5 linked regions of the Rattus norvegicus genome follow. The protein of the gene in region 3 purifies or fractionates together with the protein of the main gene of each other region. This does not show direct contact. Links are inferred from orthologs where the notes say so. Each region holds a gene or a part of one and is shown on either strand. Other genes may lie near its edges.

What was found.
Region 1: the proteins of Isg15 (region 3) and Vcp purify together in Homo sapiens (affinity purification with mass spectrometry, with the first as the bait; 3 studies listed by BioGRID). This does not show direct contact. The link is inferred for Rattus norvegicus from reciprocal best matches to the Homo sapiens genes ISG15 and VCP.
Region 2: the proteins of Isg15 (region 3) and Hspb1 purify together in Homo sapiens (affinity purification with mass spectrometry; 3 studies listed by BioGRID, with this or other methods). This does not show direct contact. The link is inferred for Rattus norvegicus from reciprocal best matches to the Homo sapiens genes ISG15 and HSPB1.
Region 4: the proteins of Isg15 (region 3) and Flnb purify together in Homo sapiens (affinity purification with mass spectrometry; 3 studies listed by BioGRID and IntAct, with this or other methods). This does not show direct contact. The link is inferred for Rattus norvegicus from reciprocal best matches to the Homo sapiens genes ISG15 and FLNB.
Region 5: the proteins of Isg15 (region 3) and Eno1 purify together in Homo sapiens (affinity purification with mass spectrometry; 4 studies listed by BioGRID, with this or other methods). This does not show direct contact. The link is inferred for Rattus norvegicus from reciprocal best matches to the Homo sapiens genes ISG15 and ENO1.

The regions. Positions count from the first base shown.
Region 1 is NC_086023.1:62,010,907-62,017,122, reverse strand, and holds part of Vcp (transitional endoplasmic reticulum ATPase), read left to right. Parts: intron 1-839; coding exon 840-971; intron 972-2,792; coding exon 2,793-2,895; intron 2,896-5,175; coding exon 5,176-5,309; intron 5,310-5,389; coding exon 5,390-5,525; intron 5,526-6,216. UniProt on the Homo sapiens protein: Necessary for the fragmentation of Golgi stacks during mitosis and for their reassembly after mitosis. Involved in the formation of the transitional endoplasmic reticulum (tER).
Region 2 is NC_086030.1:26,428,412-26,434,766, reverse strand, and holds Hspb1 (heat shock protein beta-1), read left to right. Parts: upstream 1-2,465; 5' UTR 2,466-2,599; coding exon 2,600-2,975; intron 2,976-3,636; coding exon 3,637-3,700; intron 3,701-3,811; coding exon 3,812-3,992; 3' UTR 3,993-4,127; downstream 4,128-6,355. UniProt on the Homo sapiens protein: Small heat shock protein which functions as a molecular chaperone probably maintaining denatured proteins in a folding-competent state. Plays a role in stress resistance and actin organization.
Region 3 is NC_086023.1:172,064,372-172,070,201, reverse strand, and holds Isg15 (ubiquitin-like protein ISG15), read left to right. Parts: upstream 1-2,545; 5' UTR 2,546-2,683; coding exon 2,684-2,686; intron 2,687-3,311; coding exon 3,312-3,794; 3' UTR 3,795-3,833; downstream 3,834-5,830.
Region 4 is NC_086033.1:19,447,189-19,453,404, reverse strand, and holds part of Flnb (filamin-B), read left to right. Parts: intron 1-386; coding exon 387-513; intron 514-1,622; exon of another isoform or gene 1,623-1,818; intron 1,819-1,920; coding exon 1,921-2,057; intron 2,058-3,281; coding exon 3,282-3,475; intron 3,476-4,143; coding exon 4,144-4,257; intron 4,258-4,954; coding exon 4,955-5,098; intron 5,099-5,323; coding exon 5,324-5,447; intron 5,448-5,714; coding exon 5,715-5,875; intron 5,876-6,216. UniProt on the Homo sapiens protein: Connects cell membrane constituents to the actin cytoskeleton. May promote orthogonal branching of actin filaments and links actin filaments to membrane glycoproteins. Anchors various transmembrane proteins to the actin cytoskeleton.
Region 5 is NC_086023.1:166,005,247-166,011,462, forward strand, and holds part of Eno1 (alpha-enolase), read left to right. Parts: intron 1-182; 5' UTR 183-191; coding exon 192-276; intron 277-2,027; coding exon 2,028-2,123; intron 2,124-2,818; coding exon of another isoform or gene 2,819-2,877; intron 2,878-3,165; coding exon 3,166-3,224; intron 3,225-4,886; coding exon 4,887-4,956; intron 4,957-5,123; coding exon 5,124-5,257; intron 5,258-5,727; coding exon 5,728-5,950; intron 5,951-6,216. UniProt on the Homo sapiens protein: Glycolytic enzyme the catalyzes the conversion of 2-phosphoglycerate to phosphoenolpyruvate. In addition to glycolysis, involved in various processes such as growth control, hypoxia tolerance and allergic responses.

The sequences.
Region 1 (6,216 bases), about 110 Mb from region 3:
AGAGAGAAGTCCTGGACATTTAGGGTTTGTTATAAAGACCCCCAACCCCTACAGAGATCCTTGATCGAAGAGAAGGTCCTTGCTTGTCCAAACTGCTTTATTTGATGGCAGATGTTAATACAATACCTTAATCTGAGTGAGCTAGAGATTGAATACCTTCTTCAGGAACCAGTGCCCCAGAAGGGAAGCTCCTGAATTGAATGCCCAAGGCCTATCTAGATAGCTCAGTAGCTTATCGAACTTTATGCTGTGTGACTGATTGCCACGGTTCTCAGTGGGCTTCCAGAACAGGTTTAGGCAGAGTTGGCTCCAGTCCAACTGTTCTCAGTTCTGAGTTTCATGGGGTTTAGGCTCATTCAACCTTACCAGTTCTTTTGTCTGGTGGTACAGTCCACTTGCCCCACACCTCAGGGTAGGGTGGTGCCTTTATGAACCAACTCCCAAACCCCGCTCCATTCAGGATGGGATGTTGATAAACCCAGTTCTGTGTAGGTCAACTTTAGTTTAGGGATCCCTTTTCAGTAAAATAAGGACTGCTCATAAGAGAGCAGTGTTTGGGTGTTTTTACTTTGTTTTATTTTCCTTTTACTGGGTATTGCTGTATAAGCTGACTGCAATTCACTGTGGCTTAAGCTGGCCTCACATCCAGTCTTTCTGCCTTCCAAGTACAGAATTTACAGACATGTTACCTGGCTTAAGACAAGATCCCTGCAGAAGAGAATCTTCTCACACAACATATTTTTTTCCATACCAAATAGTGGGAGGACTTGGAGAAATTGTATATTTGCTGACAATATTATTCTGGTTTTTGTTGTTGTTTTATACTCTTTTATATTCAGGATGAGGAGGAGTCCTTGAATGAAGTAGGCTATGATGACATCGGTGGTTGCAGGAAGCAGCTAGCTCAGATAAAGGAGATGGTGGAGCTGCCACTGAGACATCCTGCACTCTTTAAGGCAATTGGTGTGAAGGTGAGTATCCTAAGATCTGTGGGGAGTCTAAGACAGTGCTATAATGTTTTCTCATGGTGTGACTGATGCCCTAAATGGCTTAAAGGGGCAATAATAATCTTTGGGTTTATAGAAGGCTCTAAAAATTCATTAGAGCTATAGATTGTCATGTATATGTATGTACGCGTATACACACATAATATGCTTAAACAATGAGATCTCCCATGGATCGTATTAAAATTTTAACCATAATTTTGCCAATATTTGTAGAGTATTACTCAATAAAAGAAGGAAATTAATCGAGTTTTCAGATCCTGAGTTAAACACCTGAGAACCACCACCTGTCTAGAATAGTTTTTTGACCTTTTATATGTAATAGAACACACTAAAGATGAAGTGTGACTACTTTGCTTACTAAGCATACAAGTGGTTTTGTCTTGAGGGCAGTTTCAATGTCTTGTGGATAAGGCTGCAGACAACTTACAAGAAAGGTGCAGTTGATTATTTTAGAAGAAAAGACATGCCTTCATTCTCTCTGAGGCAGAGGCAGGCGCATCTATGAATTTGAGACTTGACAACCATATCTACAGAGAGTGGTTCCAGGACAGCCAGGGTTGCACAGAGAAGTCCTATTTGTCTGTTTTAGGAAAGGAATCTTGTTTTGAAAAAAAGACATTCTAGGGCTGGAGAGATGACCAGCAGTTAGAACAGTGACTGCTCTTCCAGAGATCCTGAGTTCAATTCTTAGGAACTATCGGAAATACCACTCAGTAGCAAAATTAGAGTTATGAAGTAGCAATTAAAACTTACGGTTGGGAAATCCTAAGACATCAGAAATAGGTGTTTTCCAGTGATCGTGACCCACAGATTTAGAACCACTGTCCTAAAAGGTTGTAAACACATGAGTGAAGAGCTCTAACCCTGAAAAACAGACCTTGCTTTAGTAGTAAGTACCTTGCATCCTGGTTTGTCCAAAGGGAAATTATTGAGGCCTTGGCATAATAACTTATTATTCACTGTCCTTCCAGTTTGTAAAGTCCCCCAGGTGTGACTTTTTAAAGGTGGTTCTTTTTTTTTTTTAAGGTTGTTCACTATTAGTCTCCTATGCAAATTGAGTTTATAAATGTTAGTGTTTATTTCCAAGGAGAGAGGGGGTGGAGGGGGAGAGGGAGGGAGGGACGGAGAGAGAGGGGGAGAGAGAGGGAGAGAGAGAGAGAGAGAGAGAGAGAGAGAGAGAGAGAGAGAGAGAGAGAGAGTGTGTGTGTAGCAGCAGACAGGGCTTCTTTCTTTATGTATCCTTAGCTATCCTGGAACTCGCTATATAGACCGGGTTAGCCTCAAATTCAGAGACCTACCTGCCTCTGCCTTGAGTTCTGGGATTAAAGATGCAAACCACATCTGGCTCTTTGTGTTTTCTTTTGGTCTCCCATTGTAAGTCAGTCTGGCCTCGACTATGCAATTCTTACTATTCTCTTCAGCTGGGTTTATAAACGGGTCTCAAAGGCTTGTGTGTTCTTTTTTATGTGTGTGGCTGTTAGTTTCGTTAATGTATATGTAGACACCACAAGCTTTCAGTATCTACAACTGACCAGAAGAAGACATCAGCTAGATCCTCTAGAACTGGAGTTACAGGTGGTTGTCAGCCACATCCACAATCAGTGGAAGAGTAGCCAGTGCTCTTAAATGCTGAGCCATCCCTCTAAACCCCAAAGACTTTTTCTTTATGGTATCAGTATAGAGCCCCGTTTCTCATCCCTCACTAGAGCTCTAGTCCAGCTACTTTTGGATGGGGGGTTGGGGGAAGGTAAACTCCTGACCCTAACTGAACTTTGTTGTCCTCAGCCTCCTCGGGGAATCTTGCTATATGGACCTCCTGGGACAGGGAAAACCTTGATTGCCCGAGCTGTGGCAAATGAAACTGGAGCCTTCTTCTTTCTGATCAATGGTAAGAAACTTGGTCCATCTTATGTCTGACTAGACCCATTTCTGAGTGGGGCATCTCATGGAGACATCATTTGCATACCCTTTAGCATATTAAGAAAATTATTTTATGACTTAAGGTTATTGGTGGGTTTTTTGTTTTTTTTTTTGTTTTTTGTTTTTTTTTTTGTCTGCATGTCTGTGTACTATGTATTTGCAGTACCTAAGGAGGCCAGAAGAGGGCATCAGATCTCCTAAAATTGGAGTTATCATGAACCACTATGTAGGTGCTGGGGATTGAACCCTGGACCAAACAATCAATGCTTTTAACCACTGAGTCTTCTCTCCAGCCTAAGTTTAGCCATTTTTGTGTGTGTATGTATGTTTGTTAATGTATTGTGGTATGCGTGCACATGTGTGGGCTTCAGAGGATAATCTCATGGTCTTCAGGTGCAGTCTACCTTTTTAGAGACAGGGTCTCATTGACCAGGAACTGTTAGTGTAGATTGACTAACCAGATAGCTGCAAGAATCTGCCTATCTCTCCAGTGCTAGATTTACAAGTTTGTGTGCACCATGCCTGTTTTATTTTGTTTTAACATAGATTTTAGGGATCTAGCCTGGGTATGCATGCATCTAAGGCAGACTCTTTAGGCCCTGAGCTATCTCTGTAGCCTCACTTAATCATTTTCTGATGAATGAGTGTATTATGGGAAGATAAGCAATAAGGGGAAGGCTTTTGGTGGGGGGGTTGGGGTGGAAAAGGGATAGGAATTGAGATATGGTCTCACTGAGTGGTATTGTTGTAATTTTAAAAGTGTTAGTATTTCTCTATTCCTGGCTAGCTCACAAATGAAACTGAATCTAAGATTTATTTAATTCTATCGGTTTGGTTCTCTGGGCTTCAGAGCTGTCTTCGGGACCCCTTCTGGGACCCCTTCCTCAATGCATCCCTTCCCCACCCCACCCCCCCAAATCCCCAAACTGGTGGAAGTCCTGACCTATTTTCTCTTCTCTTCTGCCCAGCCATTGGCTGGTTAGATTTTATTGACAAGTCAGAATAAATGGGGAGCAATGTATACACAAACTTGTAATAAGCATTACATTCCATGTCAGGATTTCACATAGATATGGGGGGTAGAAAAAAATCAGCATCTGAATAATGCAAGGGTAATCCTTTTATTTTTTAAAAGATTTATTTATTAATCTTATGTAATGAGTACACTGTAGCTATCTTCGGACACACCGGAAGAGGGCATCACATTACAAATGGTTGTGAGCCACCATGTGGTTGTTGGGAATTGAACTTAGGACCTCTGGAAGAGCAGTGTTCTTAACCTCTGAGCTGTCTCTCCAGCCCCACAAGGATAATCTTTACACAGTACACAAAAATATTTTGCCTAGTGTGTGGCCCTGACAAGTTTTCTTGTAGCCCAGGTCTGTCTTTCCTTCCCTTGAGAAAGATTGTGAATAAGGCATTTAGGGAACAAGCTGTTAGGATAAATCAAGTTTGTTTGTTTTGAGGGTTTCTCTGTGTAGCTCTGGCTCACTCTGTACACCAAGGTTGGTCTTGAACTACACCTGCTTCTGCCTACCAAGTGCTGGGATTAAAAGGCATGTACCACCATCCATGCACAGCTAAAAGGTTTATTTTTATCTGAGAATATTTGTGTGACTATGAGCTGAGGGATCATTGTTTGTCTTTAGAATGATACTTAGATTATTAGAGGTCCATTGATAATTAGCCTCTTACCAAATCATCTTTGTCATCCTAACAGAAGTATATAGAGCCATGGTCTTTGTAGTCTGACCAGGTAACTCTTACTCAGTAATGGGTGGAAAGGGCTATTAGGCACAGGGATTACTGCATTCTTAACTCCGGACCTGTATTTAGGATAAGGGAAAAAAATAAAAGTTTCTTTAGGGATTGGGGGAGGACAGGTTTTTGTCATTGTTTTTAAAAAATAACTTATTAATTTACTGTGTTCTTGGACTGGAGAGCTGATGGATCAGTGGTTAAGAGCACTGATCTTCCAGAGGTCCTGAGTTCAATTCCCAGCAACCACAGTCATCTGTAATGGGACCTAATGCCCTCTTTTGGTGTGTCTGAAGACAGCAACAGTGTACTTATTTATATAAATAAAATAAGTAAGTCTTAAAAAAAATTATTGTGTGAAAGTCAGAGGACAAGTTGAAAAAATTAGTTCCTTGTTTCTGCCACGTTGGGTCCAGGATTGGCAATAAGCACCTTGACCTGATTAAGGCATCTCACTGACCCTGTCATTGTCTACTGTGTATCTCTTGAGGTCCTGAAATCATGAGCAAATTGGCTGGTGAGTCTGAGAGCAACCTTCGTAAAGCCTTTGAGGAAGCTGAAAAGAATGCTCCTGCCATCATCTTCATCGACGAGCTTGATGCCATTGCACCCAAAAGAGAGAAAGTAGGAACCTACCCAATGGGATGGTAAGGACTTGTGAGGTCCTGACCTAGCTTCTGACCAGACATACTACTGTCTTACAGACTCACGGGGAAGTGGAGCGTCGCATCGTGTCTCAGTTGTTGACCCTTATGGATGGCCTAAAGCAGAGAGCACATGTGATAGTTATGGCAGCAACCAATAGACCCAACAGCATTGACCCAGCCCTACGGCGATTTGGTAAAGACCTTAAATTTTTTTCCTACACCACCCTTTTTTTTTTTTTTTTTTTTTTTAATATATAAGACAAGAGTTTCTCTGTGTAGCCCTGGCTGTCCTGAAACTATGAATACCAGGCTGACCTCAAACTCAAGAGATTGACCTGCCTCTGCCTTCTGAGTGCTTGGGATTAAAGTTGTGCACCACCATCGTGCAAACCAGCCTGTCCTTACTTGTTGATATATTGTAGGGTATATTGTTGGTATGTCTGTTGGGCTTGATTTCCTTATCTCACCTATGTCTTTAAGTTACTTAATCCTCAGAATTTAAGTTCTTTGTCATGACAGGACCTAAGGTTTTTTTTTTTTTTTTCCATTCTGTGTTCTCTCTAGGGCACTCCCTCAACCTTTCTAGTGCTGCGACCCTTTAATATAGTTCCTCATGTTGTAGTGACCTTCAATCATAAAGTTGTTACTACTTCATGGCTGTAATTTTGCTACTGTTATGAATTGTAATGTAAAATATTTGTCATAGAGGGTATTTGATATGTGACACCCACTCCCACCCCCGTTAAGTGGTTGTTCTGTCCCAGAGGGGTCGAGATCCAGGTTGAGAGCCACTGCTCTAGAGTAACTATCTATTTTTTGCCTAAGTCTGAAAGATTTCCAGGTTGTGAGGCATTAATGCTAACTTTAAATAAGAGAGTTCTGGA
Region 2 (6,355 bases), on a different chromosome or scaffold from region 3:
CCAGTGAGGGGCTGGGGGCGTGGCTCAGTGGTAGAGCCCCTGCCTAGAATCCCCAGTGAGGGGCTGGGGGTGTGGCTCAGTGGTAGAGCCCCTGCCTAGAATACCCCAGGGAGGGGCTGGGGGCGTGGCTCAGTGTAGAGCACCTACCTAGAATCCCCCAGTGAGGGGCTGGGGGCGTGGCTCAGTGGTAGAGCCCCTGCCTAGAATCCCCCAGTGAGGGGCTGGGGGCGTGGTTCAGTGGTAGAGGCCCTGCCTTGAATCCCCTAATGAGGGGCTGGGGCGTGGCCTATTTCCCAGTCCTGAGAAACATAGGCAGCAGGGTTGCTACAACTTTGAAAGCAGCCTGGTTTGTCAGGTCCACCCCCTGAGGGATAGGGATGACTGAACCCTACTGATGGTTGAGCCATGGTGGATAACAAATAACCAATAATTAACTATGACTCAGAGGCCCTGGGCTATATCTTCACTTATATGATGTCACTGACTCTCATGTCTGCCCGATGACATCAGCATTCGCGTCCTTGTCATCCCCATCTTGCAAGAGAGAGTAAAGAACGGAGAATGTAGCTTTTACAGACTCCCCCGCCCCTCCACAGAACCAGTGGAAACTCAAGCCGTCTGGTGGTCTGGGAGCTGACCTGACCCTCCCAGTGAGGCCACCAGGCTGTTTAATGTGACATTCCTGCTGTATGTGGTGGCAGACACTATGATCCCAGCGCTTCAGAGGTACAAACAGGAGGATCAGGAATTAAGGTCGTTCTTGGCTACATAGAGAATTCCAGACTACTCAGGGCTACATGAGACCATATTCTCAACAAACAAAAAACCCAAACAAAGGGTTGGGGATTTAGCTCAGTGGTAGAGCGCTTGCCTAGCAAGCACAAGGCCCTGGGTTCGGTCCCCAGGTCCGAAAAAAAGAAAAGAAAAAAAAAAAAACAAAACAAAAAAAACAAAAAGACAAATGGGGGACTTGAAAAATCCCAAAGTGGATAAAGAGGTGGCTGTGCGAACTTGGGGGCTGAGTTTTGGGTCTACAACTGAGGACATGGCTGCTCTGAGGTGTGGTTAAGGGGAAAGTTTTTACGGTGGATATGAGAGCATACAGTCAGAGGCGTCTGGAAGAATCCAGAGCAGAGAAACTGAACTGCATATGGCCAGCAGATTGGGTGTGTGTGGACAGGAGAGAAGAGAGATTGGGAGAGGGACAGATGCCAGCAAAGAGAGATGGGGCAAAAAAGACCAAGAGAGGGGGATGAGGGAGAGAGGACCAAGAGAGCACATACAGTCGTGAGAAGCTGGGGGAGGGGAGCCCCAAGAACTGGAGACGTTTATGAGTAAGGGGCAGGGTGAGAAGGGCTGAGAAGAGCTAAGAGTAGTATTTCAGTTGCCCAGTGAGCCCAGAGGCCAGTGCTCATTGGTATGCTAATAGACATCACAGGTGACCTTTAACCCTAGTTTCTTTTGTATGGACCACAAAGCAATCCATATAAAAGCTGGAGGTGGCTACCATGTGATGCCTCTAGCCTTTAATCCCAACTCTCCCAGAGGAAACGGCAGGCCGATCTGTGAGATCCAGGCCAGCCTAGTCTAATGAGTTCTAAGACAACCAGGACTACACAGAAAAATCCTGTTTTGAAAAAAGATCCTAATCCTAGCGCTAGGCTGGAGGGGTGGGGCAGTTGCAGAAACAGGAGGATGCTAGGGGGTTCACTGCCCATCCAGTTTGCAGGCACCAGGCTTGATGTCTCCCGAGAGATGGCTCAGCGATTAGGGGGACTGACTGCTCTTCCTAGTACCCAGGTTCAAATTCTAGCACCCGCAGGGCACTCCGAGATCTGACACTCTCTGTAGCTCCAAGATCTGACACTCTCACACAGACGTACAAGCAGGCAAAACGCTGATACACAAAAAATAATGTTTAAAAAAGCATTAAAACAAAAAAGAAAAACCCTGTCTCAAAGAAAGAGAGAAAGGAAGGAGGGAAGGAAGAGAAAAAGAAGTCTCAGGGTCAGTAAGATATTTAGTGGACGAAGGCGCCTGCCACCAAGCCTTTGGTCCCCAAAGAGACACATGGTAGAAGACAGCTAGTCTGGCTGGTCATCCAGAGACCTCCACAGGTGTGCCCTGACAAGTGTGTCCCCACAGGCCTCCTTCTGGCTCAGACCAGGTTCAGTTGCTTCCTAATTGCGACACAAAAGACCGTACCCCTCCTGGTTTATTCTCCACAAACGATGGGACTGGCCCCAGGCCACCGCCCTTCAGACTGCAGCGTTCTAAGCGACAGTGGGAACTGCTCCAGCTACCGGTATTACAGTCATTTGTTTTCTTCAACTAGAGAAGTTTCCAGATGGGGGCAGAACCTTCCTGGCCCTGCCTGCCCGCCCCCTTCGTAAGCTTAGGGGGAGGAATGCAGAGGGGAGGGGCGGCGAGGGACGGCCCCTTAGACGGTCATTGCCATTAATAGAGACCTGAAGCACCGCCTGCTAAAAATACCCGGCTGGACACCCATAAAAGCACAGTTGGGGCTCCAGCTCGGCACTTCTCGGATCCTCAGCCCAGTGCTTCTAGATCCTCAGCCCTGACCAGCTCAGCCAAGACCATGACCGAGCGCCGCGTGCCCTTCTCGCTACTGCGGAGCCCCAGCTGGGAGCCGTTCCGGGACTGGTACCCTGCCCACAGCCGCCTCTTCGATCAAGCTTTCGGGGTGCCTCGGTTTCCCGATGAGTGGTCTCAGTGGTTCAGCTCCGCTGGTTGGCCCGGCTATGTGCGCCCTCTGCCCGCCGCGACCGCCGAGGGCCCCGCAGCAGTGACCCTGGCCGCGCCCGCCTTCAGCCGGGCGCTCAACCGGCAACTCAGCAGCGGTGTCTCAGAGATCCGACAGACGGCCGATCGCTGGCGCGTGTCCCTGGACGTCAACCACTTCGCTCCTGAGGAGCTCACAGTTAAGACCAAGGAAGGCGTGGTGGAGATCACTGGTGAGTTTCCCTTATCCCAAGAGGGGACGAAGCTGGTGGGGCGAGCGAGTAACGTGGTGGCAGTGGAGGTGGGGGGTGGGGGTGGGTGCTGAAACCATGAGGGACAGGACCCTGAAAAGTTAGAAATGAGCTCAGGGACCCGGAGACCCGCGTCATTCTCCCTAGCCTGCTTCTCTTGCCCCGGAACGCGGGGTGCAGGTTTGCTCCTAAAAGCTCTGTCATCTTCGATGATAAGGACCAACAGCTGGGGGTGTAGCTCAGGGCAGAGTCTTGCCTGGCAAGCCCGGAGGCCTTGAGGCCTTGACCACCCGCAGCACAGAAACAAAATGAAGGAAGACCCAAGGCACCTTCTGGAAGACCTCATCCCCAAATAAGCAAGTGGCAGGACTCCAGTCAGGGTCCCTAGACCCAGCCGCGGTGGGGGCGTGCGCACAGCTTCGAGTATGCCTACGCTGGCATCCAAGCCTGGGTCAGAGCCAAGCCCAGGTCCGGGACCTTTGCATCCCAAATCTCAGAAGCGAACTTTCTGGAAAGTTTTAAGATCCCAGACAGTCAGGCATCCCACCACACTCTTAATTTGTTTGCCTCCTTGGGGCCCCAGCCATTCCTTAGCTAGGACTGCAGAGGGCTGCCTCTGACCTCCTTCTGTCCCCACCCACAGGCAAGCACGAAGAAAGGCAGGATGAACATGGCTACATCTCTCGGTGCTTCACCCGGAAATACACGTGAGTTCTGGTTCCTTGCATGGAGAGCTGGGGGGTGGGGGAGCGGACCCTGGGCGGAGGGCGGGGTCAGGAGGGATGTGTAACCCTTGTCCTTTGTTTCTGCTCCTCTAGGCTCCCTCCAGGTGTGGACCCCACCCTGGTGTCCTCTTCCCTGTCCCCTGAGGGCACACTCACCGTGGAGGCTCCGCTGCCCAAAGCAGTCACACAATCAGCGGAGATCACCATTCCGGTCACTTTCGAGGCCCGTGCCCAAATTGGAGGCCCAGAGTCGGAACAGTCTGGAGCCAAGTAGAAGCCTTCAGCTTGCTACCCATCCCCAGTAGCCGTCACCAGCCCTCCCTCTCTGTCAATCTGAATGCTCTTTTGATACATGTACTTTCTGTTTTTCTCAAATAAAAGTTGGAAACTACTGCTCACCACCCTCTCAGAATCCAGAGTTGTTATGGTGGGCTAGGGATGAGTGTTTCTAATTGGAGCACCCTTTGGGGTCTTTGCTAAGTGTTTGCTCTAGGCTCAGCCCCTTCCTCCGTCCAGCCTAATATTCCCCTAGGAAGAGGCAGGGGGTGGGGTGGGGTGGGGGGAGTAACCTGGAGATTAAATTTACCAGACTAGGAATGGTGGTATATGCCTGTAATTCCAATACCCAGAAGTTAATGCAGAAGCATTGTGAATTGGAAGCCAGCCTGGGCTACAGAGTTCTTAGAGTGACTGGGCCACATACATGCTGTCTTCAAAACCAACCAGACAAACAAACATAATAGGAGCTTGGGGTGTGGCTCAATAGAGTGTCCTATGGTGTGCATGAAGCACCATTTGATCCTCTACATCAAATAAACCGGGTACGGTGGCACATTCCAGAAGTGGAGGATCAGAAAGGAGTTCGAGGTTATCCTGGGCTACGTGGCCAAAGTGAGGCCAGCCTGGGATACATGAAAACACCTTAAAGGTAAAAAAAAAAAAAAAAAAAAAAAAAGAGTCAGCCAGACCTACTACTCATCAGATCCAAAGGAAACTCCTCCCCCAGCTGCTGGCTCTGTTCTCTATTAACAGCAATTTCCTTGTCCCCGCTAGTACAGCAAAGCGCTAACTTCCAGGCTTCCTCCGCATTAGGTACCTATGGATCCCCCAGCTCTTCTCTCCCCACCCCTACCCTACACTCCAGCTCCCAGGCTTCCCTCCCACAGCCTCTCATTCTCCTATGACCTTCCCATTTCAGCTATGCAATCTCCCGTCCCATTTTACTTTCCTCCTTGATCTCTCTTGCCCACACGTTTCGTCTCCCTCTCCCGCTCTCCCTCACTCCTACCTCATGGTCAAGTCCAGTCCACTGGCCATGGCCAATCTACTACTTTCTCTCCCTGCTCTGCACTCTTCCAGATGCCTCTGGCTGTTCTCTTCCCCTTGCATCTACAATAAAAACCTTCCCCTCAGCCATACCTTGCACGGGTCATGCCTGACTCTATACATCTTATGCTGAAACCCTCAGTTTATAACGTTCACACCTCTACCCTCAGCACCTCTGAGACTGGAAGATCAGGAATTCAAGGTCAGCCTTGGCCATACAGCACAGTCCAAACCAAACTGTTTTGAAACTCTATCAGTACCACAAAATAAACAAATACAAGTTTAAAATACTATTAAAAGCAACGCTCTCGGGCTGGAGAGATGGCTCAGCGGTTAAGAGCACCCAACTGCTCTTCCAAAGGTCATGAGTTCAATTCCCAGCAACCACATGGTGGCTCACAACCATCTGTAAAGAGATCTGATGCCCTCTTCTGGTGTATCTGAAGACAGCTACAGTGTACTTAGATATATAATAAATAAATCAAAAAAAAAAAAAAAACACCTTATTTTAAAAAAAAAAAAAAAAAAGCAACGCTTTCCAGAGGCCAGGTGCAGAGGAGGAGGACTGGAGAGAAGGTACAGGAAGGGTGAGCCATTCCTGGCAGCTCCCTGAGGTGTTGGCCCAGTCAACCCCACCTGCAGACACCTGCAGAATGGAATGTGGGCTCTCAGCAATGGGCAGAGAATGAGGATTGGGGGCGACATCTTGGTCAAGACTGAGAGATTGCACTGAATAGCTTGCCTTGACTAGCGTTGGCCTCTGTCAAAGTGATTACACAAGCTTTAACTCCACCCTTGTGTGCTTGGCTTTGCCCATCCATCATCCTCCAGGAGGCCCAGGGAGGGAGCTGAGGGACCGCAGGGGCCTTTGCCCCAGAGTCTAAGGGATTGACACTGGACGGGATGCTCAGTGGTTAGGAACATGGACTGCTCTTTTGAGAGGATCTGAGTTCAGATCTCAGCTCCCACATCAGGTGACTTCACAACTTCCTGTAACTCCAGTTCCAGGAGAATTTAGGCCTCTGGCCTCTGAAGGCAAGCACACAAGTGCACACACATATATATATATAAAGATTTTTTAAAGTCTTTTTAAAAAAAATTACAGGAATGCAGCCAGGTATGGTAATATAGCTATGTAATCCTGGTATTTAGAAATTAGAGGCAGGAGGATACAGTACTCTGGGCTAGCCTGAGCTACATGGTAAGACCCATCTCAGAAAAGCCCAACCAAGTCTGTTAAGATGGTTTAGCACGGGGTTGGGGATTTAGCTCAGTGGTAGAGCGCTTGCCTAGCAAGTGCAAGGCCCTGGG
Region 3 (5,830 bases):
CACAAGCTTTGGTAAAAAAGATGAACCAACACCAGCCACCGCGACTAGAGGGAGGTCAACTGGTTCTGCTCACCTATCTGATAGGTGACATCAGCTGATATCACAGGGCGGTGGAAGGACAACTTCATGCAATGTAAGGATATCAGTGGTGACAGAAACCAGATGGGATGATGTCATGGTGCTAATGATGTATTCTGAATTACCCCACTGCTAAGTCCAGCAAAGAAGAACTCAAAAGTTAGGGCAAGTTACACATGCCTTTAATGTAGCATTCAAGAGACAGAAGCAGGAAGAGCTTGGTGAGTTTGAGGCCAGCCTAATCCAGAGAGTAAGTTCCAGGACAGCTAGAGCTACATAGTGAGACCCTGTCTCAAAACACACACACACACCCAAAAATTACGGCAAATTCAAAATCTTTTTTTTTTTTTTTTGAAAGGAGAATAAGAAAAACGGCCGGGCTGGAGAGATGGCTCAGTGGTTAAGAGCACCGACTGCTCTTCCAGAGGTCCAGAGTTCAAATCCCAGCAACCACATGGCGGCTCACAGCCATCTGTAATGGGATCCGATGCCCTCTTCTGGTGTTCAGTGGTGCCCTCACTGAAGACAGCTACAGTGTACTCATATACAAAGTAAATAAATAAATCCTTTTTAAAAAAAAAAAAAAGACAGGGCCACTAATATTTTAATGGTTGCTACTGTTTTCATTCTGAGTTACACTGCAAGCCCTAGTTACTAGGCACAGCATAGCCTGCCAGCTGCCTCCATGTATTCACTCAATAGAGGTGGCCTGAGAGCACAGTAGGGGCTGGACACCCTCCTGGTGGTTCAAATCTGCTTTAGTTAGCCACAGAAAGAGGCTAGCTTGTTGGGTTAGAGAAAATGGCACTGTTTGTTTGTTTGTTTGTTTGTTTGTTTTTGAGACAAGGTTTCTCTGTGTAACCCTGGCTGTCCTGGAACTCACTCTGTAGACTAGGCTGGCCTTGGACTCACAAAGATCTGCCTGCCTCTGCGTCCCAAGTGCTGGAACTAAGGGAGTGAACCATCACCTTCAGCTTGAAAATGCCACTTCCACTGAGTAGTTTCAAAGTCTTCACAACTGATTTTTCGGAGAGATGGATGTTTTCAAGAGGCCAGGTACGGCACTCCCAGAGTATTCTAGAAATGTAGTATTCCAACACCCCAGATACACATACCCATGCCTTCTATACAAGAGTCAGTCCCTGTCTTGGGGTTGACAAGAAGGCTGGGCTGTAATTTTCGCAGCTATGGACCTATGTTGAGCCATATGAAGGAGTCTGTGTGGAATCCCCTGAACCTCTGCCTCCTGCAGACATCAGACAAGCAGGGGACATAGAGGGAAGAAACCTCAAGAACCACATCCCCTCTATGATTGCCATACTAATGATTAAGGTTTAACTTGTGAAATGGGCTGTCTTTGTTATACAGGCATTGGAAAGAAAGAAAAGATCCTACTTCTTTAATTTTCTTTTAAATATTGGGCTGGAGTGATGTCTATGTGGAAAGTGATTGAAGAAAACACTCGACATTAATCTCTGACCTCTACATGTACAAGAACCTATATGCAAAATAGATAAACAAAATTTATATACCCAGTTCCTTCTAAATTTCAAGGGCACCTGCACTCACATATACACAACGCCCCCCTAATACCTTATATCAACATAATTAAAACTAAACCTTAAGAAAAACCTGGGTGCTAAGTATATAACTCAATTGTTAGAACACTTACTTAGCATTCACGAAGCTCTGGGTTCTATCCCCAGCACTGCCGAAAATGACTAAAATCTCAGAACCTAAGCAGAAGAGACAGAAGGACCAGTTTAAGGCCAATTTCAAAGTGAGTTTGAAGTCAGCATAGACTACATAGCAAGACTACTTCAAAAAACAAACTCATCTGACTCAATGTATCTTTACGTAAGCAATAGTGTTTGTTTGTTTGTTTGTTTCTTCTCTTAGCTTTTCAAGACAGAGTCCTGGTGCTTGCTCTGTAGAGCAGGCTGGCCCTGAACTCAGACATCCACCTGCCTCTGCCTCCCCGAGGCTAAGATTAAAGGTATGCATCACTGCCCAGCTACAATAAGGTCTTAATAAACTATTACAGGATAGAAATGCTTCCTACAACCCCCCCTACCCCAACTCCCTATGCTTTGAAAACTATTGTTCTAAACTAATAACCAATATCTTTGGGTAATTCTGATTGTTACTATGTTATGTAGTTTCTTTATTATTATAACATTTTTCCAAGATAACTAATTTCCAAGCTAACAAATGGCAAATACGTTTTCTACTATTAGTTCCTGTTCTGACTTTTACATGCCTTACGCAGGACCTGAAGTGCTGGGAGTTTAGGGAGTTTTAGGGCACACGTCAAATTACAGACTTGACCCTTAAGAGCCTGTCTCTTTTCTTCCCAACTACACTTTTCTTTTCATTCAGTTTTGCTTTTCTCATCCATTTAAGGTGTGCCTCAGGAAAAGGAAACCGAAACAGAAACAGCTCTGGAGCCCAGAGACTCCGCCTCTTCACATCCACAGCTCAGACTTTAAGAGAGCTGACCCAGTGAGTCTCTCTCTGACTGTGAGAGCCAGCAGCCAGAAGCTGAGAGAAGCAGAGAGAAGCAGACTCCTTAGTTTCAGGGGACCTAGTGCTAAAGCCTACAGCCATGGTGAGTCCAATTTGGGGCAGAGGCAGATGGGCTTCATTCTAGTTGACTTTATTCTATTCCTCGATAGGGTCTTTCAGAGGCAGAATAGCCTCAGTGTGGGGACAGAATAAAGTTGCTCAAAGCTCACTTGGGGGCTGGGGGTGGAGTTGGGTTCTTTGCTCAGTTATCAGCCCTAGATCCCTTAGGGCTGGACCCAGAAGGATATCTTTGTGGGTGAACTGAAACAATCTGATGGTTGTGGGAGGCTGACCCTTTAAAACTGAGGCCTCTGTATCATACAATACTGGATGGTCCTCCCTGAGGAGAAGATGGATGTGGGACATGGGGGCTGGCCCTACGACCAGTGCTTTGCATGTGGTAACTCCCAGCCAAAGTTATTAAGCCAGTGGTTCTCAACCCATGGGTCATGAACACTTTGGGGGCCTGAACGACCTTCTCACAGGAGGTCCTTCTCGCAGATATCCTGCATACGGCAAGATCACAGTTACAAAATAGCAATGAAAATAATTTTATGGTTGGGGGTCACCACAACTCAAGGAACTGTATTAAAGAACAGAAGCATTCTATTAGAGTCGCAGCATTAGGAAGGTTGAGAACCACTACTAAATCCATGTAATTCTTGCAGACCTGGAACCTAAAGGTGAAGATGCTGGGGGGCAAGGAGTTCCTGGTGTCCATGACAAACTCCATGATGCTGTCAGAACTGAAGAAGCAGGTTGCTCAGAAGAGTGGTGTGCCAGCTTTCCAGCAGCGCCTGGCCCACCAAAGCGGTGAAATGCTACAGGATGGTGTTGCCCTTATCAGGCAGGGCCTTAGTTCTGGCAGCACAGTCATGCTGATGGTAGAGAACTGCAGCCATCCTCTGAGCATCCTGGTGAGGAATGAAAGGGGCCGCAGCAATGTCTATGAGGTCCAGCTGACACAGACTGTGGAAGTGCTTATGAGGCAGGTGTCCCAGCACGAGCAAGTCTCCCAAGACCAATTCTGGCTGAGCTTCAACGGAAGGCCCATGGAGGACAAAGAGCCACTGGGGGAGTATGGCCTAACACCCCACTGCACAGTGATCATGAATTTGCGCCTGAGGGGGGGAGGGGACTACTATTTCTAAGGCCCCTATCCAGAGCCAATGTAGGTAATAAAAGACAATACAATAAAAAGTTCTGCTTTCTGTTTGCTTGTCCCATTCAGAAATGCCTTCTTTCCATGGTGACAAGGCTCTGGGTTGCCAAGTTAAAAGACAAGGATTTCACAGTTAGAGCCTAGTGAGGACCCTTTGGGTGATTAATTCACTTCTGGAGAAAGATACTTTTACTGGGACCCAGTCCTGAGCCTCTGCCAGCATCTAAAAACTTCCCCAAGTCTACATGTGGCTCAGGGACACATCAGGTCAGTTCCTACCAGTAACAGGATGAGACTTCTAATAGGACCAGTTAACTGCTCAGATCCTTTGGAAACAGTGAAGGAATGTTCTTGGACCTATCTGGGTAAGCTGTGAAGGAGGCTGATATGGGTGTTCCCAGTCCCAGTTGCAGTAGACCACAGAGGGAAGGACAGGGTCTCACTACTCAAATCAGTCACCTGCTGTTTAGGACATGGTGGTTAGCAAGTCCACCTCATCAGGGCTATAAAGAGGCTACCTTAGGCAGATTAGATGGGCACCTGGGATTGGGGGCTCATCTGTCCACAAAGGAAATCAGATCTCAGAAAGGAGGTACCCAATTTGAAAAAGCTTCACCCCCTTCCTGCCTGATGGTTCTTTATCTTGTCTTTTCCTCTATCACAAGCCTTTGAGTCGGCTTAAGACACAAACAAGTCAGGGCAAGTACCTCTATGGCCCTTCAGACTTTTAAGAGAATTTGAACGGGGCTGGGAGATGGCTCAGTGGTCAAGAGCACTGACTTGCTCTTCCAGAGGTCCTGAGTTCAAATCCCAGCAACCAAATGGTGGCTCACAACCATCTGTAATAGGATCTGATGCCCTCTTCTGGTGTGTCTGAAGACAGCTACAGTGTACTCAGATATAGAAAATAAATAAATCAGAGAGAGAGAGAGAGAGAGAGAGAGAGAAAGAGAATTTGAACGGAGACTCAGAAGACCCCCTTCTGGTTGGTGTGTTTGTGTTTATCCAGATTAGGTGACCCCAGATCTAGTAATGCTGGAGCCCACAGTGTAGATGTGACCTCAAATCTTCCTTGACCACTTCCTTCCTTGAATCCTGGCAGGGTCCCGGTGGTGGAGTCTCTCAGGAGGAAGAGGTTCTGCCACTCACACTTCCCAATGGCTTCTGGTTCAACGGCCTATGGCCCATACACAGTCTTTGGAAGACAGAACAATGTCTTCTCTCTTTCCTTCAACCTTCTGTAGGTCTAGCGCTGGCCTGGCTCCCGTGGGCCTCAGTTTATACCATGTACCTTGCTAGGCCAAGCTGGGGAAGCGCTGGGGGAAAGGGAGGGGGGCGGGAACGTGGTAAGTTCTGTAGCAAGACTAGAGAAGACAGCTCTAGGTAGACAAGGTGCATCCCGCTGCCTTACCCAGCCAGGGGCCTGGTGGACAGGTCTGAGCGCAATTCTGAACAGTCACCGCTGACCGGCCATCGGCAGGGGGCGTAGCCCTGCTGGGCTGTCGTAGAGGCTGTGGTGGTACCCGTACGGCCGCGGGGAGCTCAGCGAGCAGTCCTAGCGAGAGGCCGACCCAAGGGGTTGGGGAACCGGAGGTCCAGCTCCGCTATCCTTTCGTGTCCAGAGAGCCCTGCGGCTCTTGGCGCCCGGGCGAGCCCCTTGGAATTCCCAGCACGTCGCCCCTCGATTATACATTAACCTGATTTCAGCTGCATTTCCTGGTGGGAGGACAGTTTAGGCGGACGGGGGAGGGGCCCCCGGCGCCACGCCTTCCCCTCCCCCAAGGCGGCCCGCCACCCACCCGGCCGAGGCCCCCGCCCCAGCTCGGCGCCGCAGTCTCCGGGCTTTGTTCGCTGCCCGCGCGGGTCGTAGGGAGCGGGGGGACGGGCTGAGCTCCCAGGGGGAGGGGCGGTGCTGCCCAGTTCCCGCCCCCGGCCCGCCCCCACGCCGTCCGCCCTCCCACCTCCTCCGCCTTGCTGCGGTCCAGTTCTGTCCTGCCCCCTGCACGGTCCGGCCCGCGCGCTCTC
Region 4 (6,216 bases), on a different chromosome or scaffold from region 3:
GCTTAGTCCAAGACAAGTAATCATAAAGATGACCTCCCTTTCCAGTGTTTGTGGGGCAGCAAGGGGGCTGTGAGGTGGGGGCTGGAAGGCAGTTGGGACTGGGGGAGGGGGAATACTGAGACCCAGTAAACAACCCATCTGGCCTGGAACCTCAGCCTCCACCAGCCGAGAGCTTTTTGCATGGAGTTAGCTGGGAAGTCTTCCATTTCTCTCTCTTGGAGGCTGAGAATGGCTCTGGTTTGAGTTTTGGAAAAACCTCTCCCAGCTTTAGAGGGGGATCTCACATTCAGAGTTTAACTTTTGTAGGTCGCCTGTGTTTTGTGGGGAGTCTCCTTGTAAGCCAAGGATTATACTGCAAAGGCTGTGTGCTTGCTTGCTTTCCACAGAGGGCCTGGAGGAGCTGGTCAAGCAGAAGGGCTTTCTGGATGGGGTCTACTCGTTTGAGTACTACCCCAGCACACCAGGGAAATACAGCATTGCAGTTACTTGGGGGGGACACCACATTCCAAAGAGGTGAGTCCGGGTTGGAGAGGGGCCTCATCTAGAGGTATGTTCAGCCTGTGACAGGCTCACAGGAGCCCACTGCCTCCCAGGCTGCCAGAAGGAAGAGAGATCGGCTTTGTTGAAGCCTCCCTCCCTCCCCTCCCCACCTTTTCATCGCAGCACAGACACTTGGCTTTCTCTCAAAAGCAACAGAAAGTCGCTGTGGTTTCAGCTGCCCTGCTTTAAATCAAATGCCGGTGGTTTGTGCCTGTGGGAGGCAGGGGAACCAGAAAGAGGTGTAATGGAGAGCAAGTGGGCTGTGTGTCTGTCTGTACAGCCTTACAGAAGCCGAGGCTCTCCTGCTCAATGAATGCCTCTGTTCACGAGTGCCACAGGGGCACAGCGGGCTATGGTTCACATAAAAACCCATCCACAGGATCGCCATCAGGGACAAGGGATCCCTGGGCACAGCGTTGCCTGGGGCTATAGCAGTTTCCTCTTTGGACCCCTGTGCTCTGACGCTCTCCTGAGGGCAATTTAAACGTTGAATACATTTTGTTTGTCTAGAGAAATAATTGAGCATTATAGTAGCCCTCCCTTGTCCATAAAAGTTACCTTCTAAAACCATAAATATATGCCTGAAACCAACCCCAGACAACGTCATGTGCTGGGTTACCCCCCCCCCCCAGACTTGTACACCCATGAAAAAGTTTAATTTATAAAATGCACACAATAAGAGACTGGGAGCACTAGCAAGGAAGCAGCAGAATGAAAGCTACATGAATATGCACCATAGTTAATGAACTACACCATATTGTGCTGGACTTCCCCTTCTTGTGGTGTTAGATGACGTAATGAGATAAAGGGGAAAGAATAACGTAGGCACCGTGGCCAAGCACCGGTCTGCTATTAATCTCATAACGATACACACACTGTAGACCAAATTTGAAACTTAAGAAAATAAAACAGAAGATAAGGGGGACCTCTTATAAGGCTTTCAGTGTCTGAGCACTCTTATTAAAAACGTCCCTTGCCAAAGTTGAAGCATGTTCGATCACATACGAATGAACTGAAGCCTGTTCAAACGACTTTTCTGGTGATAGCATAGGTAGGAGAAAGAGAAACGTGGACATTCTTACCTTTAAGGCTCCCGCTCTAGAAGGCCCTGCCTACCAAAGGTCACTCACTAATGAGCTAACCAGAGCAAGTAGTGTGTTGCTTGAGTGACAGCCCAGTTACCCCCAGCCCCTGAAGCAACCATATTACATTATATTGTTGACATAACAATGGCTGTGGGGGTGACCAGTGTGGGGGAAGAAACTTACTTGCCTAGAGTTTCAGCCTCTGCAAAAGAGCAGGCAAATGGAAAGAATTATGTTAAGAGTTCATGGTTATCTCGAACCCCTTCTATGATCCTCTTCTGTTCCTTCCTTCTAGCCCCTTTGAAGTTCAAGTTGGCCCTGAGGCAGGCATGCAGAAAGTCCGTGCATGGGGCCCTGGACTCCACGGTGGCATTGTTGGTCGGTCAGCAGACTTTGTGGTGGAATCCATTGGTTCTGAGGTCGGGACTCTGGGTAAGTAGAGGCAGCTGTCCCCACAGCTTCTTTAAGGCTAAGAGTCATGAGGTGGGCCTAGTGTTAGCTTCACGTGGCCTCCCAGCTACCCAAGACCTCCTCTGGATGCTGTATCGTTCTAGGTCTTCTTTTTCCTTCTTGCTTTCAGTTGTCCAATGCCTGTGGCATTTGATTATTTATTTATTCACCAGTTCCCTGGGAATGGGGCAGTGGTTTGCTAAACAGCGCATACAATATCACACTGGTAAACACTGGTAACTTACACTTAAATTAAATAGGTGCCTCGGTACAGCTAGCTGAAATTTGAAAAAGCAAATATATTATTTGGCACGAAGCTGAATATATTTTAAGTGGTTGCCTGACAAAATGTGTGATCGTTACAGATTAGAAGTCAAGCTTTTTCTAGAAAGGGCCACATACCCAGTCTCTTTTCCTTGGCTGTGACATGATCTCTGTCACAATTATGTGATTGCCATTGTGGCTTAGAAGCAGTTATTAAACACACAAATAAATGGGTATGCCTACTTTCCTGTAAAACTCTCTCTAGAGGAATAGGCAGTGAGCTGAATTTGGCCAGGGAGCTATATTTAATGACACCCATTTAGTTATAGCAACAAGCAAAAGAGGGAAAAATAGTAGGAATTATATATACTTTCCACCAGTAGGAAGATTAGTCACTTTGGAGCATGCTTGTAGTTTAAGGAAGTAATTAACCTTTTAGTCTTCTCTTAGGCCCCTTTCCTGTACACACTCATAGCTTTATACCTTTATGCCCCAGAGGAGTGGGGGTAGCTGTGGGATTTTGTTATGTTTCAGTCTATTCTTAGGCTTGCTAGTCATATCCAAGATCTTGTTATATGAACAGTGCTGAGTGTATAACCTCACTTAATTTACTCAGATAAAAACTCAGAAATGGGTTTAGACAAAGGAGTACTTGTTTAAGGCTTCTGGATATGTTGCTGTATATCCAATAGAAGGGTTTTTCTGGTCCTTGTATACCCCTGCCCCGTGTGCACCGCCTTCTGACTCTTCTGTCATCTGAAAACCAGAAATATCCGCCTCTAGTTAAGAACCAGTGACCTTGGTTTTTTGGAAGAGACACACTGGATTTCAGTTTTCTACTCACTACTTGCTTTCCAGGAGGCAGAGAACCGATGGTAGTAACCTAGGTTAGATAATTCTCACCATGTGTAACCAGGAAGGCCCTTCCGCCTTGTCCCCCAGGTTTTGCCATCGAAGGTCCTTCCCAGGCAAAAATCGAGTATGACGATCAGAACGATGGCTCATGTGACGTCAAATACTGGCCCAAGGAACCTGGAGAATATGCCGTTCACATCATGTGCGACGACGAAGACATCAAGGACAGCCCATACATGGCTTTCATCCATCCTGCCACAGGAGACTACAACCCAGATCTAGTGAGAGCACTCTCTTCTCTTATCCTGTCTCCCCTGTGGCAGACAGGAATGGGTTAGATGTTGGGAGAGTCGTGTAACTCTCTGAGTCTCGGCATTTTTCTCTATGGACCAGGAGTGAGAGCATCTCTCCCAGAGCTTCTGGGATGGTTAAAGGACATGCCTGTCCTGTGGAAGAGGCTCATCTTGCCACCTTTTATAGCTACCTATAGACTACCGTCAATGGCCAACTTGTGGCACTTTCTTTGACCTGTGGTGGCTGCAACCTTCAGTCCCTCGAAGTGGGAGCCTTGCATTCAGGCACATCTAAAGATCTGCCAGAAACTAGAAATTCTTTCTGTCATTTCAGAGTACAGCAGGTAGCTGGGTTAGTTTGGGTTTTGTTTTAGAGTGTTTTCTTCTTCAAGGACAGCTAGTAGTGGTATTTATTTATTTATTTTTTTTTCGGAGCTGGGGACCGAACCCAGGGCCTTGCGGTTGCTAGGCAAGCGCTCTACCACTGAGCCAAATCCCCAACCCCAGTGGTGTTTATTTTTATTTAAGTTTCAGCCTACTTTGCGATTTTACTTCCGACTTCCATCCTTAACTAAGGGCCAGGCATTTTGTACACCCTCCCTTCCAGCCCATTCTTTAACTCAGAAAAACAAATCATTATTCGGTTTTTGCCTCAGGTCCAAGCATATGGGCCAGGTCTGGAGAAAACTGGTTGTACTATCAACAACCCAGCTGAGTTCATCGTAGATCCTAAGGATGCCGGGAACGCTCCCTTAAAGATACTGGCTCAGGTAAGTATCTGGGCCTGGGGCCGCTTGCCCTTGTCAGGTCAGAGGTATAACGTGAGGTGCTCAGTGTGTCTGGTCCTCCGCTCTCTCCCGCACACCGGGAGCAGTAATAGTATCCCACAGACAGTATGGCGTGAGGACTACATGATCGGATATAAACCAGGACATTTTTCACGATGATATCAGTGATTCACGCTCTGTTAAAAGAAGGCTTTTTTTTATTTCAGATTTTTCCGTAATGTCTTTCAGTTTGGCTGAGTCTATGTAATTCCTAGTAGGTTTGTGGGCAAAATTTAGATTATCGTGTATCTGATTTAGTTAAAATGAGCCGAAGGACTTCAACTCTGGGATTGAAATGAAGTGCTAAGTGGCGCTGGCTTTAAGCGGGAGAGAAGATAGCGTTTATTCTTAGTAATTATAAGTGAGTAAATGAAATTGGGCACAGCATGGACATGATCCCCGGTAATTAGGAGGCCCAAGGAAAGACACCGAGATCATCCTAAGTAAGCTGGTGATGCCTGTCGCGTTGGGGGGACGGTTTGGTTTTATTTGTTGTGAGAGCGCATAGCACACTGTAATCGCCGTATGGTTTTCTAAGACAAATTGGTGGTATCTTGGCCATCCGTAGAAGCCTCAGTGACCCCCTTTCAGCGGAGACACTTCGAGGAGTGCTTTGGTCCATGCTCTGGTTCTTTTGCAGGATGGGGAAGGCCAGCCCATTGACATCCAGATGAAAAGCCGGATGGATGGCACCTATGTCTGCTCCTATACCCCGGTCAAAGCTATCAAGCACACCATAGCTGTGGTCTGGGGAGGGGTGAACATACCACACAGCCCCTACAGGGTAAGTTGTGGTCATCCTGGTCATACGAGAAACCCTGGCTGTGTGTTGAGTCTGCACATTGTGTATTGATGACCAAGGCAGATGTATAGAAGAAAACCATTCTGGGTAGGCCTTGAAAAGAGACTTGTCCTAAAGGACAGAATACTCTGTAGACTTACAAAACGGCCATTTCTAGTCTTATGCTGGATCCTAGTATGTATTTTTCTGGGTTCATGTCTTTCCTAGGTCAACATTGGACAAGGTAGCCATCCCCAAAAGGTCAAAGTGTTTGGACCGGGCGTGGAGAGGAGTGGTCTGAAGGCAAACGAGCCTACTCACTTCACAGTGGATTGCACGGAGGCTGGGGAAGGTGAGCTTGGGTTTATCCACCCCAGTGATTGTCGCTCCTCTCAGAAGAGCATTCTTACAGCATTGGAGGGCAGAGAACTCTCCTAATGAGCTGTGTTGGCTCCTTGGCGATGTGTTAGCCAATCCTCTGTGCGACCTTTTCCAAAACGCTGATTTGCTACTTCTCCTTTCTGGGGTTGCCCTTGCTGTGTGCCAGCCCAAGCTGGAAGTGACTATGCAAGACGTGCCCTTGCTTGCGATCTGGTCCTAATAAGACGGTCTGTTCCAGGTGATGTCAGTGTTGGTATCAAGTGTGATGCCCGAGTGTTAAGTGATGATGAGGAAGACGTCGATTTCGACATTATTCACAATGCCAACGACACGTTCACAGTCAAATACGTGCCTCCCGCCCCTGGGCGATATACTATCAAGGTTCTCTTCGCATCGGAGGTATGTTGGGGCCTACAAGCGACAGAGTGGAGTGAGCCTTATGCATCCCTCCTTTTTGGATCGTTGTTTGTTCAGCAACTGAGAAAAGTGCTGAGAACTGAGAACTGTTTCTCTGTTTTCTTAAAACCAAAAGGGGTTGGGGGCGGGGGTGCTAAGCTGAGTTTTCACTCTTTTCTCTAGGCTGCAGCTGACTCGTTAAAAGCGTTCATTTACTAAGGGTTTGATTGAAAAGTTAGGCAACTTCTAGATGCACTTCACTTTGACCTCTTAGCAGTAACTCTGGTCTCTGCCCTTAAACTTTTATAGCAAGAGCTTTTCGAAGCATCAGCTGTGTTTAATGG
Region 5 (6,216 bases), about 6.1 Mb from region 3:
GTCCAGTTTGTATTTACCTAATTGCCCACAGAACACTTAGCTTCAGAGGGCTATAAGTGACTTCTGTACGTAGCCCACTTGTTCTCTGTCCAGGTCCAGGATCTTGGGGGTGATCTCTTGGGATAAATAAACCTTCTATATTAGAGTTTATGGGTAATATATGAACTATTTTCCCCCTACAGAACTTCACCATGTCCATTCTCAAGATCCATGCCAGAGAGATCTTTGACTCCCGCGGGAATCCCACCGTTGAGGTGGATCTCTACACCGCAAAAGGTACACGAACCCACATTATTTCCTGGTCTCTTGCACCACAGTTTATTGATAATGTGATGGGGAAGCAAGGCAGAGTCTGATCTACTCTGATCCCTCTGAGCCTTCCACCCACTGAGCCATCTGCCACCATGTCTGGCTTTGCTTCTTGGTATTTAAGACAGGATGTGGGTTGGGTAGGTCACCGGGGCAGGGAAGTAAGGGAGGGCTTAAGCCCTGGCTCCTGAAGAAGCCTGGCCTCCTGATCGGATCAGCCAATGGAGGGGGAAGCCTTCTCTCCCCACATGAAAGGAAGGAGACAGCCCGGAAGCTCTGCTTTTTCCTCTAGGCCAAGCTACCCATGGTGAGGAACTCGTGTGTTATAAGGGAGTGGGGATATAGTTTGGCAGAGCATTTGCTTAATATGTGGGAAGTCCTAAATTTAAATCACAGCATTGCAAGGAGAGATTGGCTGGGTGTGGCAGCGACTACCATAAATCTCAGCACTTGGGCCTGCTCAGGAGGGAGGATTGCCAGTTTTGAGACTAGCCTGGGCTACATAGCAAGGCCCTGTTTCTACTACTCAGAGACAAAACAAAAAAAAAGCCCACCCCTGCTGATTCCAGCATCTAGATGTAGAGATGCATGTAGTGGGTGCCATAGGAAAGAGGCCTGGGGAAGATGTAGCAACGTCTTACAGAGCTCACAAGCTCACCAGTCTGGGCTGAGTCATTGTGTGACTCAGAATTCAAGCACCAGAGCCCAGCCCTACCTACCCGTTGTCCCAGGAAATGAGGGATCCTCAAATCACCAGCATGTGCCTGCTTGTTGGCCGCCATTGTCTTTGCCAGGGGTTCTCAGCTGTGTTCTGGCAATGTTTCCTGGTGAATACCAGGAATGCTAGGTAGCATCAGGTGTCAGATAGCAGGGTTTGGCTCCACCTGCTGGTGACATCGTGCATGACAAGGTGTCTGATAGCAGGAGATGGCTCCACCTGCTGGTGCAGCTTTACCCCTAAATTGACTTTTTTTTTCTTTTCTTTTTTTTTTCTGGGGCTGGGGACCAAACCAGGACCTGGCACTTCCTAGGCAAGCGCTCTACCACTGAGCCAAATCCCCAACCCCCTAAATTGACATTTAAACAGTCAAACAAGACGGGTGTCTTAACTGTAGCTCTTTAGAATCTTTATGCTTTCGCCTGCCAATGAAAAGCGCTTTTTACGATAATTAGTTTATCTTGCCATAAGATTTCCTGTGTATGTAGCCTACACTGAAGTCAAGTCCTCAGTCTTAGGTGCTGAGATTGGAACTGTGGACCAAGATATTTGGGGAGGTGATTCAGTTAGGAAAATGCCTGCTGTGCAGACATGAGGCTCAGCGTCCAACCCCCAGGACCCACATAAGAACCCAGGCCTGGGGATTATGTGTCACCCTAGTCCGTGTACCCAGCTTTTGCACTGTGAATCTATGTGTCTGTGGCCACTGACAAGCCTTGCCTCACCTAGGCCAGGACCATCTGGATATGCAGGAAGTCAGGGTGGGCACAGACAGTGCTACCTTGCATGTCCCTCACTCAGGAAGTTGTGTTCACTCTGTATAAAGAGTGGTGTGGAAGACTCAGGCGGGTGAGAAGGCTGTCGTGTTTCTGAGTGAGGATTTACTAACTGGGGACTTGGAGGTACAAGAATTTCTTTGGTCCCAGTTGGCTTCAGACACGGATCCTCCTGTGTATTGGGACTGCCCAATGTTGAATTTCTTTCCCCCCACTGTTCCCAGGTCTCTTCCGTGCTGCGGTGCCCAGCGGTGCGTCCACTGGCATCTACGAGGCCCTAGAACTCCGAGACAATGATAAGACCCGCTTCATGGGGAAGGGTAAGGATAGGAACTTAGTCTCATCTGCACGCACCAACCTCTTCCCCTCCCAGGCATTCACCCACAGCACTGCTGAGCACTGCCATCAGGAAAGCAGCAGGGCAGCTTACCCTCGCCTTCCTCCCACAAGGGACTGATGCCGTCACTGGTGTCCAGTTGACAGGATCAGCCTGATCAAACAAGCTCCCAGATCTCTGGCCTTCAGATCTTTAAGATTGGTGTGGCTCTGACCTTTGTTATGTAAGTGGAGTCTGCTCCCCCCCCCAGGTGCTGCAGAGTTGGGCCCTGCCCTTTTCTCTGATAACACCCCCCTGCAGAGTCTGGCCTTTCTTTTTTTCTTTTTTTTTTTTTTTTTTTTGGTTCTTTTTTTCGGAGGTGGGGACCGAACCCAGGGCCTTGCGCTTCCTAGGCAAGCGCTCTACCACTAAGCTAAATCCCCAACCTCCAGTCTGGTCTTTCTAGGGAAAGTCCATTACTGTAACCAATAGTGGTGAGAGCGGGAATTGAAATCTCCAAAGAGAGGTTGTGTCAGGGGGTCTCAGGGCTAAGGAGCCAGCCAGCATTAGAGCCAGCCAGCATTAGAAGCCTGACTACTGAAGCACCCCTGCCTCCTTCCTTCACTTTCTTTCCTCTGTGTCCTCTGAATCCTTTCTCTCCTGAGTCTTTTTCCTTCTCTATTCACCTCTAATGGGTAGGCGTCTCCAGACCTGTTAAATATGTTAATGAGTTCCTGGCACCAGCCTTGTGCACTCAGGTAACACGCTGGGCATCCTGGTGTGCAGCTGGGTTTCCCAGTGCATGGTCTTGAACTAATACCCCCCCCCAGCACTCTGGTCATGGCTCTTGGTGTGGCTTTAACCCCCTGGGGTGCTAGGGAAGAGGACTCAGACTGGGACAGAAAGCCCCATTCTGGGGGATGGGGGTTTAACAAGATCCTGTGGAGGCTCTTCGGGCTTCTGGGCCCAGGACTCCGGTGCTCCAGCGAGGCTGCTCAAGCCTGTGTACTGTAATTGTGTAAGTAATTTCATGATTGTTCTTCTAGGTGTCTCAAAGGCTGTTGAGCACATCAATAAAACTATTGCACCTGCTCTGGTTAGCAAGGTAGGACCCATCCCCTGTAACTACTGTGTATCCATGCCACCAGAGCAAGGGCCAGGCCTCTCCTCTTCACAAGAATTGCTTATTCTGAGAGCTTTGGAAGCTGGCATGAGTCTAACCTGCCTGCTGCCAGTGTGTGCCATTGCTTCTGAAAGCGCCTGAATCTGGGGCAGGGTGGGGAGTGCTTGACATGTTTCCATATGCTCTCCTGACCTTTGTGTGTCATGGGACTTTGTTCAAGGCAGTAGTGGGACTTTGGAATTTATTGCTCTGTTGGATGGCTTTGTTACAGACTGGGTGGGACTGGGGATGTAGGTGGAAGCAGGTGCCTGCAATTCTAGTATAAGGAGATAGAACTCCACCCCAGCCTCCATCTTTTTTGATGTGTACATACTGAGTGCTAAGCCCTGAATTCAACCCTTTCCCCACTTTAAAACATCCTCATTTGAGGCTGGAAGGGAAGCTCAGTAGAGCAGCGCTTGCCCTTCAGGAGCTGAGGTTGGTCCCAGCACCAGTGTGAGGTGGCTCACAGCCAGCTGAGATTGTGGCTCCAGGCATAAGGCACTGTACCTGGTCAGTGTGAGGGACATGGGCCACAGCTTGTCCCTGGACAGTGTGTGTGCTGCCTTTGTGGTCCTATCCCAGTCGCTTCTCAGAGGGACCACCGGCCATCATCATCTCTGTTTGCTAACATTTAGTTCCTCCCTCTTGAATCACAGATTGGCCCTGTATCATCCATTTTGTCCCCAGCGAGCCTGTAACAAACACTGATTGGTTCTTTGTCTGGTCCCCAGACAGTTGCTCATTACAACTGCCGGCTCCAGTCTCCTGGGCGCCTCCTTGTGCGCCCACTGTCCCGTCATCCCTAGGCCCTCCTTGAATTGAACACTCTTGGGAGGTTTAGCCTCTGGGAACTTTCTGCTTGGGCAAATGTTTGCCTTCAACAATGCCTTGTCAAACAACAGCAAGGGCTGACCACTCACACGCACAGCACCGCAGGGATGTGTATTTTACATAGTGTCTGTGAATGAATATACAGTGATGTACTTGCATGTGTAGTATGGACCATGTGCATGTCTGGGGTAGCCAGGAAAGAGCATAAGATCATTTGCATTAGCAACAAGTGTTCTAACAGCTGAGCCATCTCCAGCACCCACATGCGCTGTTTGATTGAAACAGTTTATTGCTTCATATAACACTCCCCAAAATAGCCATGTTTACCAATCAAGTATTTGGTAAGGTGATCCTGGACAACCTGTGTTCTCACCAAACAATGGTGTTCTGTCCTTGTCTTGGCCAAGAGCTTTAGAGGTGGTAGCCTCTGCAGACCTCTGCCTGCTTGAATGAACAATGAACTTTATTAATTTTTATCCAAGAACACCCTTGTGTGTAGCCTAGGTAGACTGTAGTCTTTGAACAGGAAATGCCTGGAGCTGTTGAATAGAGCGAGTGAAGCGAGGTTTTGTTTTCTCTCTGCTCTACCCCTTCAGGGTGTCGAGCCAGTCTTTGGCAAACGTTGAGAAGCTCCATTGCTGAGCTCTACTCCCAGCCCCATGGCCACAGACTTAGTGCACATAATTCCCAGGGTTCCCAGGGTTCTGAAGAGCTGCTTGGTGGGAGAGTGGGGTCAAGTGGTAGCTGAGCCCTCACTTCCTGTCTCTCCAGAAACTGAATGTTGTGGAGCAGGAGAAGATTGACCAGCTGATGATCGAGATGGACGGCACAGAGAATAAATGTGAGTGCACAGGGGGAGCTGTTCCTCAGTGGTCGGTTGGAGATTCGTAATCAGCCACTTGTGGATTCAACACGCGAATCTCCAGGAGGGCGGGTGGGCCATTTATGCAGCCCAGTGGGAAACAGGCTAAGAAATGGCCCCTGCTCACCATTTTCATTCTATTCCAGCTAAGTTTGGTGCAAATGCCATCCTGGGAGTGTCCCTGGCTGTCTGCAAGGCTGGTGCCGTGGAGAAGGGGGTGCCCCTTTACCGTCACATTGCCGACTTGGCCGGCAACCCTGAAGTCATCCTGCCGGTCCCAGTGAGTGACTTTGACACTAAGTCTGTCTTGTTTTCCTTTCTGTTGCTACAGTAAAATATCCCAAGAAAAAGCAGCTGGGGAAAGGAAGTGTTTGGTTTATTACCGTTCCCGACTACAACCCTTCGTATTAGAGAAGTCAGGGCAGCAGTGAAGCCTTAGGTTACAGTCAGGGCAGACAGGAAGCTGGCAGGACTGCACCTTCCTTCCATCAGCGTTTGGGAGGGTCACAGTTAGCACTAACCATGGCGGGGCTGAGAGTGCGGCCATAGGTACCCACAAGGACCCTCCTGCTTATTGTGTGTGTTGATGCCCAGCACAATAAGGGGATAATTCTTAGAAGAGTCCTAGTGAGCATTTGGAGACCGCGTTCATAGGGACCAACTGGCAGCTATGGAGTTCAGGGGCTTCATGCCCTGTGGTGGGTCTCCCTTGTCCTCCCTGGGTGGGTGACATCACTCCTGTCCTCCTAGGCTTTCAATGTGATCAACGGCGGTTCTCATGCTGGCAACAAGTTGGCCATGCAAGAGTTCATGATCCTGCCTGTGGGGGCATCCTCTTTCCGGGAAGCCATGCGCATTGGAGCAGAGGTTTACCACAACCTGAAGAACGTCATCAAGGAGAAGTACGGGAAAGACGCCACCAATGTGGGTGATGAGGGTGGATTCGCACCTAACATCCTGGAGAACAAAGAAGGTAGAGACGTTGGGAACTATGTTGTGCTGTCCACTCGACCTGCCGCTTAAGAGCTTTGGGGGTTTTGGGTTTTTTTTGTTTGTTTGTTGTTTGTGTCTTTGCTATATTATTGGGTAGCTGGAGGCAGGTCCTAGATCACCTAGAGCTAGAGTTCATAAGTAAGCCACCGTGTGCTGGTAATTGACCTGGATTCTAATTTTGTGTATGTGGGTGCGCCTGCCATCAGCATGGCCATCCATCCACTGTGGCCTGGGGACTCAAACCTC